Rattus norvegicus: one gene and its partner. The protein of the gene in region 1 interacts with the protein of each later gene in a biochemical or structural test. Links are inferred from orthologs where the notes say so. Each region holds a gene or a part of one and is shown on either strand. Other genes may lie near its edges.

The links. The genes of interacting proteins can lie anywhere in the genome.
Region 2: the proteins of Flnc (region 1) and Xirp1 form a complex in vitro, tested with the Homo sapiens proteins (2 studies listed by BioGRID and IntAct, with this or other methods). The link is inferred for Rattus norvegicus from reciprocal best matches to the Homo sapiens genes FLNC and XIRP1.

Annotation. Positions count from the first base shown.
Region 1 is NC_086022.1:59,013,717-59,021,684, reverse strand, and holds part of Flnc (filamin-C), read right to left. Parts: coding exon 7,418-7,968; intron 6,878-7,417; coding exon 6,704-6,877; intron 6,606-6,703; coding exon 6,443-6,605; intron 6,319-6,442; coding exon 6,158-6,318; intron 5,538-6,157; coding exon 5,370-5,537; intron 5,290-5,369; coding exon 5,166-5,289; intron 4,728-5,165; coding exon 4,571-4,727; intron 4,491-4,570; coding exon 4,301-4,490; intron 4,130-4,300; coding exon 4,106-4,129; intron 3,995-4,105; coding exon 3,747-3,994; intron 3,221-3,746; coding exon 3,122-3,220; intron 2,820-3,121; coding exon 2,720-2,819; intron 2,405-2,719; coding exon 2,264-2,404; intron 1,994-2,263; coding exon 1,865-1,993; intron 1,777-1,864; coding exon 1,603-1,776; intron 1,013-1,602; coding exon 851-1,012; intron 774-850; coding exon 570-773; intron 120-569; coding exon 1-119.
Region 2 is NC_086026.1:128,622,427-128,630,394, forward strand, and holds the end of Xirp1 (xin actin-binding repeat-containing protein 1), read right to left. Parts: coding exon 3,303-7,968; 3' UTR 2,685-3,302; downstream 1-2,684. UniProt on the Homo sapiens protein: Protects actin filaments from depolymerization. Required for correct cardiac intercalated disk ultrastructure via maintenance of cell-cell adhesion stability, and as a result maintains cardiac organ morphology, conductance and heart beat rhythm.

The DNA.
Region 1 (7,968 bases):
GATGTAGGTGCCAGGTTCAGTTGGACAGTAGGTGACTTTGCAGGTACCGTCTTCCATATCCTCACAGTTAATGTCCACCTTGCTAGGACCTTCGATGCTCAGCCCCAGGCCTCCGTAGCCTAAGGGATGTGAGAAAGATGTCTCCCCTGAGCCCATGATACCTGCACCCACACTGCTCTCCTGTCCCGTGCAGAAGGCTCTGCCTAGGACAGACGTCAAATGAGTGTAGGGACCGCTAAGGAAAATGGCACCATGAGATGTGGAGAGGTGATCCAGTGTTTGTCATCAAGGCTTACTAAAGAGGCCTTCGGGAAAATTCCATACCTTGGACCTCTTGGATTCTAGTGAGTGGAGACTAACAAGCTCAGGACAGCTGAGCTTTCTCTCAGCTGTGACAGAGCTGACTGACGGGGGACATTCGCTTCCCCCCAGTGGGCTCTAGACTGAATCCCAACAGATCCAAGAAGCTCAGGGCAGGAGGGTGTGGCCAGAGGGGGAGGTTATGGGCAGGAAAGGGACAAGAATTTGTGGAGTGCTAATGATATGGGGGGTTCTGTGTCAAGAAGTACCTGCATTGCGAGTGTCCACAATGAACTCTGCCACTTGGAAGGTCTGTCCCTCGGAAAGGCCCTTGCCCCAGACTCGAACTTTGCTGGCATCGCCGATCTCCGAAGGCCCAACCAAAATCTTAAAGGGGCTGTTGGTGACGTGCTTGCCACTCTTGCGTACGCTCACCACATGCTCACCGACCTCCTTGGGGGTAAAGGAGATCCCTGTGGAGAGGGGACAGTAAGCAGAACATCCCCGAGGCCTCCCTGACCCAGGTACACCCAGGAGGCACTGCACTCACCAATGTGCCTGTTGGGCAAGCGCTTCAGCAGGCAAGGCTCCTCATTGCCTGAAGGAGCACGGATACTGGCTGTCAGCTGGCTGAGGTCACCCTCTGTGATCTTCAGTGACACATCGGTGGAGGTGCCCACATTAAGCTGGGACGTTCTCATTGAGTCGTCACCTGGGATACAGTTGGGACAGATCAGGATGTCGGCTCCAGACAGACTCTAGCATCCCTGGTCTGCATTCACCTTAACTACTAACAGCCTCAGAGGGACCCAGCATCCCTGTGCACTGTGCCTGTCTCAGTCCTGGGGAGGCTAAGTCTGTCCTTGAACCTTTATGTATTTGGTCCTGAGTCACATGGACCAGATGCTCTCTCTATGGCTCTGATCACAGTGCTAATTTGTCTCTGGGTTTTCTCAAAACAGTGTCAATATTTCAAGAGTAACTTGAAAACTGAAATAATAAAATATTTTTTCTTTTTTGTTGTTTGTTTGTTGTTTTTGGTATTTGGAGACATGGTCTTTCTATGTAGGCTTGGCTGACCTAGAGCTCTCTGTGTAGACTAGGCTGGCCTTGAGCTGACATAGATGATCACGTTTTTCAAAGCATGGACTGGTGGGATGTTCCTTGCCTGTTGTGGAGAACAGCATCCTTACATTTACTCCAGATGTTCTCCTCCCCTCAGCAGCCTCTGTCCAAATGTCCTGGGTGAGCTGACTTGAGTGTGTGTGGGGCAGGGTGCCCATGCCTGAATGTCCGTCTCACCTGTGATCTTGGCCGTGAAGGGGCTCCCTGGGATATGCTTGTCGTCAAAGCGCACAATGATGCTGTAGTCTCCAGGTGCTGTGGGTAGGTAGGACACGGTACAGGTGCCATCTTTGTTGTCCTTGCAGGTGATCTCCGCCTTGGATGGGCCCTCCACAGCCAGTGACAGCCCCCCTGTAAGCGAAAGTGGCTGAGATCAGAATCTATCCCTGTGCCTACAAACCTGGCAAGTCCCCTCACCTCTTTCGGCAGTTCTCCTCACCTTCCCCAGCGTCTTTGGTGACAATTGTGAAGGTGGCAGGCTTGTTGACCATGCCATGGCTCAGACCTGGCCCATAGGCACTGACATGCCCGCTGTTGATGGCATCCACATAGAACTGCAGAGGGCTCCCTGGGTAGTGACAGGTGGAGCTGGATTAGCATAGGGACAGGGGCTTCCCACAGCCATGTTGGCCCCCAGCATCTTCAACAGCTTTGGATTTTGGAGCCCCGTGCCTCTGCTACATGGACTTAGAAGCCCATTACCATCAAGAAACACATTTCCCAGAACCTTCTTTGGTGCCTGTACATGGCAGTGCTTACATATGTATTTAAAGGAGGCTGGCAGGACCAACATGGTGTTGGCTCCTCTTACCGTGGTCTCACCCTGCTCCCAACTCACCAGGGATATGGTTGCCATCGTACTTGATTCCCATCTGGTGCAGGCCTTTCTCTGTAGGTGCGTATCTCACTGTGATGGTACCGTCCTTGTTGTCAGTGATGTTGGGACGTGCTGTTTTACCAGAGGGCATCCGGACCTCCCCTGAAAGGCAGACATACTTACATGTAGGTAGGACACTAGTTTCTCCCAACACATGTCCCTGATGTCCCAGGGCCTGTTCTCAAGTGGCTCTGCTTTCCCCAGAGGCCAGACACTGGGAAGCAGCCCATTCAGGAATAGAAGGACTAGGAGACAGAAGGCTTGAACTTGAGTTCTCATTCTGCCCAACTTGTGAGACGCAACCTAATTTGTTTCCCCTCTCTGGGCCCTAGGTCTCATCCCTGCAATGATCTTAGCTGAAAGGCCAGGAAGCGTTCTCAGTTCTCAACAGAGTCTCACGTGTGGTGCACCCATTACCTGTCAGCTCCCCTTTCTGCACAGTGAATGGGATGACCAAGTTGAAAGGCCTCAGCATGGACTCCAAAGGCTCCACAGGAACCACGGGCTCCTCTGTGGCCTGTAGCAGGTGAGAGGAAAGAGAAGGCTGTAGTCGGTGGAGAACGCCGGGGAGTGTGGCCTGCCTCAAGACTGAAGTCAGAGAGAACGAAGAAAGAACAAGGTTAATAGTGAGACACCAATGGCAGAAGATGCGTCAGCTGCAGGAGAAGGGGTGCCATACTCAGATTTGGGCTCCCTCTGCCCATCCTAATGCCTGCATTCCCCAAGAGGCCCAACCATGGCCCAAGCCTGCAGAACAGAAGGAAGAATGAAGAAAGTAGGGAGAAGGATGACGAGGCCTGTCGTGGGAAGCTCTAGTACCCAGTGTGTGGGGCAGGTGCCAGGCCGAAGTGGGGCATATGGCTGGTGCAGCTGCAGCACTTCCGCAGGCTCCTCCACATGAGGCAGCGGGTCACATGCCTGGGGAATAAGGCACAGGGTGTACAATGTGGGGGGACCTAGATCTCAGAACCAACTCTCAGAATGGCCTAGGACTCAAGTCCTGGGTGGGTATCTCAGGTGTTCTATCCTTGTCCTGCAGGGCCACCCCTGTAGAAACAAGAGCTAAGGACAGTGGCCCAAAGGTCAGAAAAGAACACAGTGAGCTCCTTCAGAGAGGGATGATACCTCTCTGGTCAAAAGCAGAGCTGCACCACCTCCCTGCACATTGGAAGGCTACAGGAAATACAAAGGCTCATTCTAGAGTACTCTGGCTCCAGGATCTGTTTATCAGACATGGGGACAAGTTCTCTGACTCCTTGAGGACAGCTCCTAGGATCCCTTGCAGCTACTGAGAGGCATATTCTGAGTCCTTGAGGACAGCTCCTAGGATCCCTTGCAGCGACTAAGAGGTATATTCTCTGATTCCTTGAGGACAGCTCCTAGGATCCCTTGCAGCTACTAAGAGGCATATTCTGCATAACATGCACCATGGCCATGAGCTTACCAGCACATGGAAGGGGCTGTTGGGAATGTGTTCACCCCCAAAGCGGATGGTGATGACATATTTGCCCGGCTCAGGTGCTGTGTAGTAGATATCAAAGGTACCATCGTGGTTCTCAACTACATCCACATCGAGCTCTGCCCCGTCAGGTGTGGATACTGTGCAGGTCACCTTCCCCTTGCCTGCTGCCTTGGCATCCACTGTAATCACAGTCTCCTCTCCAATCTGGATTCTGGGACCCAGGCAGGCACCTACCACATGAAAAAGCCAGATCAGGGGCTGTGGAGGCCATGTCCAGCTCCCCCTTTCCCGGCTGCTCCCACAGCCTCCAGCCCTTAGTAAAGAAAGAAAAAGTTACTCACCCAGTCCATGGCCTCCAATGGATACTGGAAATAGAGAAGAAAGTTAGGTCATTAAGGTTCAAGATGACCTAGAGGTGGTGGGAGCTGGGCTGGGCAAAGAGTATAGACTTTTTGCCAGCATGGCCCCAGGACTGGGCTGGGAGACTGAATGCACTCTAAGGGGCTGACGAGAAGGGACTCAGAGTTGGTACTCACCTGTAACAAGGCACTTGCTGGCATCCCCTGTAGGCAGGGCGTGGATACGGAAGGGTGAGTAAGGGATCTCATCGCCGCCATACTTGATGGTGATGGTGTACCGACCACTCATGTCTGGCAGGTAGGACACGGTGTATGTGCCATCCCCATTGTCTCGGATGTTGGCCTTCTTGGGTTTACCCTCGGGATCCTAGAGGAGAAGGAGAGGTCAGGCCTACCTATGTCCACAGAGGGCATATATGCTGGGCAGGGGGCTGTGCCTAGACTTACCAGGATCTGGACTGTGAGAAGCCCCTCACCAGCATCACGAGCATCAATGGTGAACTCCACGGGCAGGCTGGCGGGGATGCCGGAGGCATTGAGGCCAGGGCCACTGGCCCGCACTTTGCTGGCATCGTGGGCCGGAAGCACTTTGATCTTGAAAGGGCTTGAGAAACAGAAGGAGCGGACAGTTGTCAGGGAGTTGGAGCTTGAGATATGTGAGCCTTCCCACATGGGCAGAAGGAGTGACTCTGCAGGGCAGCCCTGAAGGCCTGCTTCCCAGGACATCTTGAATCTTGGAGAAGGGTCACTGAAGGACCCATGGAACATAGATAGTGTTTTCTCCAAAGGAAGATGCTGTTAATTGTTTAAAGAGTCTGCACACTTTCTGTGGCTCTTTTCCTTGATGCTTATCTGGTGCTGAAGCTAGTGGGGTGATATTACCTTCTGGGTAGGGAACCTTGGAGTGGGGTAGGATGGGGTAGTCCCTGAAGGAGGTTTAGACAAATAAGGGGGGGGGGGACTCTGCCCAAGTCCTGGCCTTGAAGGTTAGGCCCTAGGAGAAGCTCTAGCTCAGCATGGATTGGTCAAGGCTGGCCCTCACCTGCGTGGCACCTCCTGGTCAGCATACTTGACAGCTACTGTATAGGGTCCGTCAGTGGCAGGCGTGTAGTGGACAGTGTGGGTACCGTCGCCATTGTCACGCACCTCCACAGGCTCAGCCACACCTGGGCAGAGGCAGAGGAGTGTCAACAGGGCCTCCTGGAACCTCCCCTCCCTCCCCTCTTTCACTCCAGACATTCCATACCTGTGGGTCCCAGCACTGCCACCTGTAGAGGGGCCCGGCCAGCTTGACTGCAGTCCACTGTGAAGGTCTGAGGTACCCGAGCCCTGACGCCAGTCCCTAGCCCTGGCCCTGAACACTTCACCTTCCCAGGGTCCACAACATCCTTCACAGGAACTCGGAATGGGCTTCCTGGGAGAGTGAGAACAGAGATGGTGGAGGTCAGCCTCTCCCCACTCCCTGGCACAGTTTGTCTTCCCGCACTGAGGATCTGTGGAGCAGGCAACCTCCCTGCTGCTGAGAGGCCCACTGAGACAGAGCAACATGAGAAGCAGTTTGGAACTTGCTGAGAAATAAAAAAAGAGAGTAAGCGAATTTGACTGCAGAACGAGGCAGGGCAAACCTCACCTTCTTAGACTCAGCCTGGGAAGAAAGCCCTCCTAAATCTTTAAAATGTTAACAATGGAATTAAAAAAAAAAACCAGCTTATGTCTTTTGACATTGTAGCTGAAATATGAAGAGGACACAGAATTAAATAAGAGGAAGCAGTGTCTTGTTTTAGCAGACCTCTTCCTACAATAACAGAAGACATGACATACCCTAGCAGTTGGGCTTTGGACAGCAAATCCTGCCAGTGGATCTGTATGAGCAAAGTCTGGTGCAAGGGCCTCTGAGAATGAACTGGAATGTTCTCACATCCACAGCACCTCCTGCCCTGCCTCTTACCCTCTGCAAATCTCCACATCCCTTTCCTCATGACCTCAGCATCCCATCACCCTCTTCCCAGAGCCCATCCCCCACTTTTTGCCCACCTGGGATGGGTTGTCCCCCAAAGGTGATGTTGACATCATAGTCCCCAGGAGTGAAGGGGACGTACTCCACAGTGCAACTGCCATCTTTGTTGTCCTTGCAGGACATCTTAGCTTCTGAGGGGCCCTCGATGGCTAGGCCAAGGCCTCCTGTGCCAGCACCCCTATAAAAGAACACTTCTGTCAGCTGTTCCAGAGCCAATGAGAGGTATGGAAGGGATTGGGGGACAGGGAGGAGAAAAGAGGGCAGGCTGAGTCAAGGTCAAAGCTAGGCAGAGAAAAGGATACCTAGTTTCCACAGTGAAGCGGTTGGCCTTGTTGACCAAGCCACCCTCTAGGCCTGGTCCGAAGGCCCGGACTCGGGTGGGGTCACAGCCCTCCGTCACACCCACTCGGAAGGGGCTCTTGGGCACGGCTACTTCGTCATACAGCACCTCCACCAAATGCACACCTGGAAACCAGTCACTGAGTCAGTCAAGGAGAGCAGAACCCCCATCCCTGCCCACCCGGGAATTCTGTGAGCCATCCCCTCTCCCACGAATTCCCTACCCTCTTCGTAGGCCGTGTACTGCACCCGGTAGGTGCCATCCCCGTTGTCTGTCACATAGGTATCTGTCTTAGCACCCGAGGGGTTGAGCACACGAGCTGTCACGTGGTTGCCACCTGTAGCTGTCAGAGATCTTGCATCCACAGTAAATTCGGTGGTCACCTCCCGCAGGACACCTAGATCCAGAGGACCATGCTTGGTCTCCATGCAGCCCCCTCTTCATCCCTCACTCCACAGCTCTCCCTTCAAGCAGAGCCGAGCCACCTCTCTGCACCCTTGCGGGTCTCAGGCCTTCCCTCCTCCTCCGCCCTCCTCACTATCTGGTGCCATCCGGAGCAGGACTGTGTCTTCCATGCCTGTGCCCAGCTTAGTCCTAGTTGAGTCCGGCTCTCTCGCGAGCAGCACATTCATGTAACTACCTCTGATCCCCGACAGCCCCTAAGACAGCTTAGCCACTGTTTCCCTTGTACACGGTCAGCTTTAGTAGGTCCGAGATGTCTTAAATTGATGAGTTCAAAGGTCTCCCCAGAAAAGTGCCCAGGGGCAGACGCTGTTCCTCACAAGAGCAGAGACTGACCTTCACGCCCCCTTTTGGACCCCCTTGGTCCCTTTCTGGTGTGTTGAGCTCCTGAAACCTCCAGCTGCCCATCCCCCCGATCTCCTCCCTCCTTCCAGGCCTAGCCCCATAACGTGACACTGTGCTGCTCCTCTCTTACCATGTGGTTCCACACCAGGCCCAGAGACCTTGATGCCACTGGTATCAACTGCAGGCTGCACGTGGACACGGGTGGGGAACTTGGGTATGGGGTGGCCGCCATACTTGATGGTGATGGTGTAGGTGCCTGGGAAGGCAGGACTGTAGGTGATGTGGTAGGTGCCATCCGCGTTGTTGTGGATCAGCACCTCCGCTTTGACACCAGCGTCTGACAGGATCTCGATGGTCAGCTCGGCCTCGCCCGCTTCCGAGCAGTCCACAGTGAAGGTGGCTGCCTCTCCGGCCTTGCCACGCTCCAGGCCTGGCCCACTGGCCCTCACCTTGCTTGGGTCGAACACAGGCTGGATGGTGGCCTTGAAGGGTGAGCCAGGGATGTGGGCTTCAGCGAACAGGATATTGATGGTGTACTCGCCTGGCTCTGTGGGCAGGTAGCTAACTGCACAAGATCCATCACCATTGTCTTGGCACTCGATCTTGGCTTCGCAGGGGCCCTCGACAGTCAGCCCCAGGCCTCCTGTGCCGGCCCCCTTGGTGTCAATGGAGAATGGTGCC
Region 2 (7,968 bases), on another chromosome or scaffold:
GCAGTCTTTTATTACTGTGCGTGTATGATGTGTGCGGGTAGGTGGGGATGCCACTTCCTGTATGTGGAAGCCACAGGATAACTTCATAGATTCTTTGGTTTCCACCTTTACCTGCATTCTGGGTTGGGACTCAGGTTGCCAAACTTGCACCATCGGCGCCTTTATCGGCAGAGCTATCTCACCTGCCCAGGCCCATAAGATTTTACTTTGATATAGAGTATCAAACTGGGGAGGCAGGGATAGATGGTAGCGGGAAGCAGAGGACGAATTCCAGACGCAGGCAAGGACAGAGCATCCAGGGACCAGGCGCCCTACCGGGTGAGCCCCGGAACCGGCATCCGTTTGGAATCTGGGAGGGAGGCTCCGCGCGAGGGCTGGCCGGGACGGCGCGTCCTGGCGCCCGGCGTCTGCTCGCGGAGCCAGCCCTGGCAGCACGCCTGCCGGGCGTTTCCTGGCAACCAGCCACCGCCTGAACGTTTCGAACTCTACAGCCCGCGACGTCACCGTCACCTTGACGACGGCCGTGGGAACACGCCCTGTCAGCTCTGGGGGCGGGGTCTGGGCGTCGCGCGCTCCGCGCGTGTGGAGAAGGGCGGGGCCTGGGCAGGTGCGCAGGCAGGTGCGGCTGCAGGTGTGAGCGGGGCGGGGCGAGGCTGGGCGGGGCTTCTGCCTCCGCCGCTCTGCCGCTGCGCTCACCGCCCCTTCTGCTCCGATTGCTCTGCAGCGAGGCCTCCCAGACCACCCAAACTCGGCTTGCCCTTGCCGATTGACCTTGTTTTTCACACACGGTTTTCTGTGTAAAATGACCTAATCTGCTTGTATATTTGTCTCTGTCAGCCCCGTGAGGTCAAGAATGAATTCTGCCTTGTTCATCTCTATTTTTAGCACCCTGAACAGATCCTGGCACGAAGCGCTATTGAATGCCAGTAGCGTGAATCCACAGATTGACTCAATCGTTTCGTTCATGTGTATGCTCGTTTGACTAGTAACCAAGATGAACAACACCGGGCACACTCCCCCTGCAGGTGGGAAAGGAGATGTTAAAAATATTCCAGAAGGCTGTGGACACAAGTCTGGAGAGGAATAGGCAAGATCAGAGCACCAGGGGCTCAAGATCATCTTCAGCCACAGAATAATTTTGAGGCCAGTTTGATACGAGACCCTCAAAACCGAATAAAACAAAAAACAAGGCTGCTGAGCCGTGTGGTACACACTTGTAATCCTCAGTACAGATGGGGGTTGGGGTGCAGGAGAATTATTACAAATTCAGGACTAGTTTGATCTACCTACTGTTTCAAGTCCGTGTCTCGAATTTCAGAAAACAAAGCTCTCCCCTAAATTGCAGTACTAAGAATGAATGCCAGCCAAAGGCTTATTAACACCTATCAATTCACAGTCTTCACAGGGTTGTTGCCACAATCACACCCATTGACAAACAAGGACATTGAAGAGTACACTCCTGTGCTAAGGTGCTGGGACCAGTGACCAAGCAAGAGCCTGTGGAATGTGGGGGGAGAGAGAAGGTGAGGGATCACTCGGTTACCTGGGCCAAGTATTTGATCTTTTGTGCTACTGAGGATTGATTTACTGGGAGCTTGTGCGTGTCAGGTGAACAAGGCACCACTTGAGTGTATGCATACACACTCCCACACTTTTGGTTTTTTAGGCTGTGTCCCGGCTCCCACACCCTTTCTTATGAGACAGTCTAATGCAGCCCAGGCTGACCCCAAACTTACTAGTTGCTAACAATGACCTTGAACTTCCTCCTGACTCCTCCTCCAAAATTATGTGAACACACTGCTTGCCCTGAGTCCTGTTCTCTTGACATTCAGTTGTCAGGTGGTTCTTCCTTAAGGAGCTCCACCCTTGCTACTTCTCTGAGGCTACTCTGTCATGGTCACACTGCCATGACTCATGACTTGTGTCTTCCGAGTGGAAAGTTAGGCACTCACCCTCCTTCTGATGTCATCTTTCTTGTCTCTCCTCCTCCTCATGTTAAGTCAGTCTCCTGACACAGCAGCCCACCGGATCTTGCTGTCATCCCTGTGACCTACAATGGACCTGGCTTAGAATGTTTGGTGGTTTTTGAGAGAGGGAGAACGGTTTTCACTAAAATCTTTGCAGTTTCCAACCAGGATCTGATCGCTCCCTTCCTAAGAACACCTCCTGCTTGGCACATGGTACCCACTGTGAACAAGAAGTATCTGAGCCACTCTGGGCATGGGAATTCTGGTGGGACTTCCTCTAGTGCTCCCACCTCTCTCCCTGGCTGTATGGGGTTGTTTTCCCATTCTGGGCCAGGATTTTAAGAACTTCCCCTGGAATGACATCTAAGAACATCAGGAGGGAGGTAAAGATAAGGGGGCAGCAGCATGTAGGTCTGTGTCGTGTTGATGCCCGTGGTACACACCTGCGCGTGTGTACATGCGTGAGAGTGGTACATGGCGTGTGTGCTGCTGTGGTGTGCATGTGTATGTGTCATATGTGTATATGAGCGTGTAGATAATAGAGAGCAGGGCAGTGGGCCGGGCCTTTCTGTTTTCTGATGTACACTGTTGGAGAATGCTGAATGGATCTTCAGCATCTGTATTGTTACTGTTGGCAGAGGCACCTGGTGACCATGACTGTCCTCCCTGTGAATGCAGACTCTGGGGCAGCACATACACAGTCTGACACACAGAGCAGAGAATCTCTTTTGGGTTTATTTTTGGGTCATTTTTCCCATTGGGGGTGCAGAGTGGGGGGGTGATGGGATCAGGAAGGGTGGTGTATTCGGCTGCTAGGAACACTATTGGCTGCTAGCGTTCTCTCAGTGCCCTTTGGACCACTGGTGATGAAGAGGCAGCACCCAGGTTTTTCTGGAACCTTCAGTCCAATCTCAAATAGAGACCAATGTCATGTCCAGTCTGCTCAGCCCCGGGTCCTCACCAGGGATTGAGGTAGCCACATTCCATAACCTAAGAGAAAGGCTGGCCATAGAGGGACACAGTGGAGGGGTGTCTATCCAGCTCTAGGCAATAAGATGCAGACTCGAATGTGCGAATGTGAGCTGGGCTAGTGTGGGCTAGATCTCCACAACCACCTGTCAGGTCCTGTCCTACCCATCCAGCTTTCCTGTGGATGGCTGCTTTACTTTTCTTGTCCCTTCCCAAGAATTGGAACGAACAAGGCAAACAGCCCTCATCAGCTCTCCGAAGGCCCCGTTTTTCTTGGTCATTGTTCCACATGTCCTGGAGGTAGGCCCGTGACTCAGTCCTAGAGCTCTGGGGGAGGAACCCAAGACTGGGGGGAGACAGAGGGGCTCACTGGGCAGCCGGATGGAAGTGGCTACAGGGAACCCATGGTATCTCGGCACCAGCCAGGTCGCTGTTGAACCTGGAGGGACTGTGGAGGAACTGCCTTAGCATGGGAAAAGTGTAGAGCCCGAGTTGGGGCCTGGGGTCCATCAGAGGCTCTGCCTGCTGGGTGATGGTGGTGGAGGAAGTGAGGACTGTATTCCCAAATTGGTCCATCTCCTCATACTGTTCAGTCACTGTTTTCGTGGCTCCATAGGACTTGGAGGTAGCAGACCCAGTCTGGAATTCCAGAACATTCTCTTGCTGCCCTGTGGGCACAGAGCCCTTGATGGCCATCTCCTTTGTCCCAGCCTGATCCTGGATATCTCTCTGGTAGAGCAGGGCTTGGCTTATGTCCTGAGCTAGGTGTGTATTTTTCCCTGAGATAGAATGGCTTCCCTGAGGGCTGGAAGCATCTAGAAGCGTCTTTGCAGCTGATTGGATAGAGATGAAAGTTGGAGAGGAGGATCCCCTGCAGGAAGGTGAGACTTGTTGGAGGCCAGGCTCGGCTCTTGCCGTCTCCAGCCTCCTGGAGGGCAGGACATTCACTGCTGCCTGACCTCTGGCCTCTGCATGATTTCTAATCTCATCTTGACCTTGCGCCTCAGGACGGCTCTCAACCTTTTCTTGGTTTTCGACTGCAGGTGGCTCTTTGACCTGGTTGGAGCCCATCGGTCTGGCTCTGTTACTGGTGGAGACCTTTTTCACACCGAGATCCTTTGCACTTCCCTGTGGAGGGCTGCTTGTGTGACCCTCGGACTGGAAGCTAAATATGGAGCTCAGAGCCTTGTGCACTGTTTCTTCGATGTCCAGCAGCCTGGCTAGGGTCTGTTCTTTCAGCTGGGCAACCTTTGAACTCACCCGAGTTAGCTCCCCAAAGGCCTGCTCCACTGAGACCTCAGTCTTGTGAGGAGCTGTGGGAACCTGACGGGTACCCCCTGCCAGCTGGGGTGCACCCTCAAAGAGCTTCCGCAGGGTCTGCACATTCACGGTGTGGGCTGCTTCCTTCTCCAGGGTTTGCACTTGGCTCAGGAGGCCCTGGAGCTCTTGATGGCTGCCCTGAACAATCTCTGGGCTCTCAGGGGTCCTCTGCTTGGAACCATCCATAGGCTGCTGTTTTGGGGAGCTAGGGTGCTTTTGTGGTGGGCTGACGTCATTGTCATTGTTGAGAATGGTCAACTTGCGAGACTCAGGGCTCTGGCTGTTGCTGTTGCTTGTTTGGCCCCCGCTAGGTCTGGAAGCTGTGGTGCTGAGTGGATACTGGCGCATAGGCTGTTTCTGCCCCTTGGAGCACTCAGCCAGGGGCAGGCAGCCCTGACCTGCTATTGTGGGAGCTTTGGCCGACCCAGGGTTGGCTACACCTGGCTCACCTGGCTTATGGTCTTGTCCTGCTTCTGAGATGCTGGCAGAGGCTGCTAAGGGCTTGGGCAGCCTATGAGGTGGGTGGACTTGGCTTAGATGGGCAGGTTTCGGAGGCACTGGGGGTTTCTTTCTTGGAAGCACAGTGGATTCCGCTTTAGAGAGCTTTGTCTCTGACCCTTCAAGGGTTTTCTGGCCAGCAGGTCTGTTGTGACTGTGAAGAAGGGGTTCCCGCAGGGGCTTGGAGGCCTGCTGGACGGAGTCCTTCTGGTGGTGGCCTTGAGCTGGGTGGTCTGGTTCTTCTGTCACAGCAGCTGGGAGAGTAGGAGGAGAGGCATTATGGGAGTGCAGGCTGTCACCTGCAGCCTGGGGTTTAGGTGTCAGAGTGTGGTGAGTTAGAGGGACAGTCTTCAGGGAGGTGTCTGCTGCCTGGAGGCACTCAGGCCAGATTTGTGGCATCACTTTCCCCAGAGGTCCCCAAGCCCTTTGTGAGTGACCCCCAGGCTCGTGATATTCTGGCCTGGGACTCTGACCTTGGTCTGCCTGGGGTGGGCTGTCCCTTGGCTGGGGTTCTTTTTCAGAAGGCTGGATGGCCCCAGGTAGGTCAGAGGTTCTCACAGGGTGAGCAGCATAGATACCATCCTGTATGGTCACCCGCCCCCTAGGCAGCCCTCTGGGGACTGCTTTGTTGTCTCCACTGACCTTTCTGGGGACCGCTGTGATCCTGGCGTCCCTTCCAGCCACAGGCATGATGCTACCTTGGGTAGTGGTAGGAGTCGGCACTTGCAGAACATCTTGAGCAGATATGGAGGTGGCTGCAGGGTCAGAGCCCTGTGCATGCCTGCTCAGAACCTGCTGGTGCAGGCTTTGGGCCTCAGCAGTTGCCAAACGCAGATTTTGCATGGCCTCCTGGAGATTTGGAGCCCCAGACCCTAAAGGAGGAGCAATGGTTCCTTCTGGTCTTCCTGAGGCTGCCTTCCCTTTCTGCCCAGCATGGCTGATATCCACTTGCTTCCTTGCTTCCTGCAATGGTGCTCCCGGTCTCCCATTTGGAAGGACCACTTTTCCAGCTGCCCGAGGTAGAGGTGGGCAGGGTGTGGATCCTGAGACTCTCAGATGCCCCATCTTCATGGTGGAGTCTAATGGGGTGACGCGTATGATGCTCTCAGTTGGGGGAAGCCTCTGGGTCTCCTCAGTAACTGGTACTGAACTTGAGTCTGTTGGCGGCTCCCACCGCAAACTGGGAAGGCTGTGCAGTTCTCCTTTGTCTATGCAGCTGGCCAGCAGCTGCACACTGCTTCTTTCAGGGCCCCTGCTGGTTGGCTGGGGCTGGAGGGAGTAGGCAGTCAATGCCACTAGGCCCTGTCCTGTTTCTTGCATCACCAGCCCCGTCTTTGCCATAGAGACTCCCAGGCCACAGGCCAGCAGCTGCTGGAGCTCCGGGTCCATGTCTTCAATATTCTCAGGGTCACCAGGCCCTGGCAGTTTGAGTGGGTGGAGTCGGAGTTGGCCAGCTGTGTCCTCCTGAACCAGCAGTCCCTGCTGGTCCACATCTGTCCGGCCCAGCACTTGACGGACGATCCTGGGGAGCTCACCGCACACCAGCTCCTCCTTCTGTACACAGGGGCGCCCCTGCCCTGGGCTTGGGAGCACATACTTGGCAAGGCAGAGCTCCCCTGGCCCTCGGGCTTCCATGAGGATCCCTCCGTGGTGCAGGATGCCAGGGGTGGCATGCAAAGTCCGAAGGGTTCTCTCGGCTGCTGTCTCCTGCCTCTCTGGGGTCCCAGGGTCTGCAGAGACTTTGGGCTGTTCTTCCTGGAGGTTGCCCCCACTGACACTCTCTGCTGCCAGGGAGCCCATGGGGCAGTTTTCAAAGAGCCAGGTGAATTTATGCACGGAGCCTGTGGGGATGGATCCGGGGCTTAAAACAGTCTCCTGTACCCCCCTCTTGCCTGCTTCCAGGGCTTGGAAAACTTCTTTCTGCCGAGATACCTGCCCGGAAGGAATCTCCACTCGGCTGCAGTACCTTACAGGCTTTCTCCCACTGGACTGGCCCTGGGCTGACAGAGATTCAGTCTCAAAGACATGGCTGTCTGTCTGTCTGTCTCCAGCCTGGACCTGGCTGGTTTGCAAGTGCTGCTCCCCAGAGCCCTCTGCCTGGTTCAGAGATTGGGACCCAAACATCCAGGTGCATGACTGTGCCTCTGCCTTGCTCACAGGGCCTGTGACCTCAGATTCCTGCTTCTCTGCCAACTCGCTCATAGGGTAGGTCTCAAATAGCCAGCGGATGGTTTGTACATCGCCCTTCTGGGGGAGCTCAGGAGGGGGGCCTCCTGGACCCCTCCCCTCCTCCTCCTCTCGCTTCTGCTGCTCTTGTTGGTGGATCATCTCCAGTGGTTGCGTCTCAAAGAGCCACCGAGTGGTGCCTACATCCCCAGCCACCACTTCTTGCCGGGTGATGCCTCGCACCACATCCACGGTACTGGGGCTTCTGCCCAGCCGGTCCAGGGGCTGTGTCTCAAACATCCACTTGTAGCCTTGTACATCACCTCCAACTACCTGCTCTCTGCTGACAGAAGTCAGGGCATGAAGCTGTCCTCTGCTGTCCTGCATAGCATATACGGGGGCATCGGCGCCCTCGGACAGCCCAGTAGAATCAGTCCTTTGTCCTCTGTTTATGTTTCCACAGGCTGAAGGCTCACCCTGCCCAATGCTGTCTAAGGGAAGGGTCTCAAAAAGATTCTTGAAGGTTTTCACATCCCCTTTCGGCCCATTGTTCTGGGGGACACCCTGAGACAGAGGCAGCGCTGAAGTGCCGTTACTGGACAGACACTCTATCACAGGCCCCTCACCCTTCTGGTGATCCACCCGTTGCAGGTGACCCACTTGGACCTGGTCTCTGAAAGCATCCAGGGGTTTTGTTTCAAACAGCCAGAGTGTAGAGCGGACGTCACCAGGAATCACCTCCTCCTTGGCTGGAGCCTCTGCCTCGGTTTCTCTTTCTCCCTTCAGAGTGTCCAGGGCGCAGGTCTCAAACAGATGTCGCTGATGCTGAACGTCTGGACCAGGAGGGATGAGATCTGGAGATGGCTGGAAGTCCTTCTCGTCCACCAAGATCTCACGAATGGCATCCAGAGGCTGCGTCTCGAAGATCCAGCGAGTTGCACTGACGTCGGGCAGGGCTCCCTCCTCGAGGGAGATCCCCCGAATCACCCTCACCTGGCTGGGGTCCTGGTTGAAGGCGTCCAGAGGTCGGGTCTCAAAGAGCCAGCGA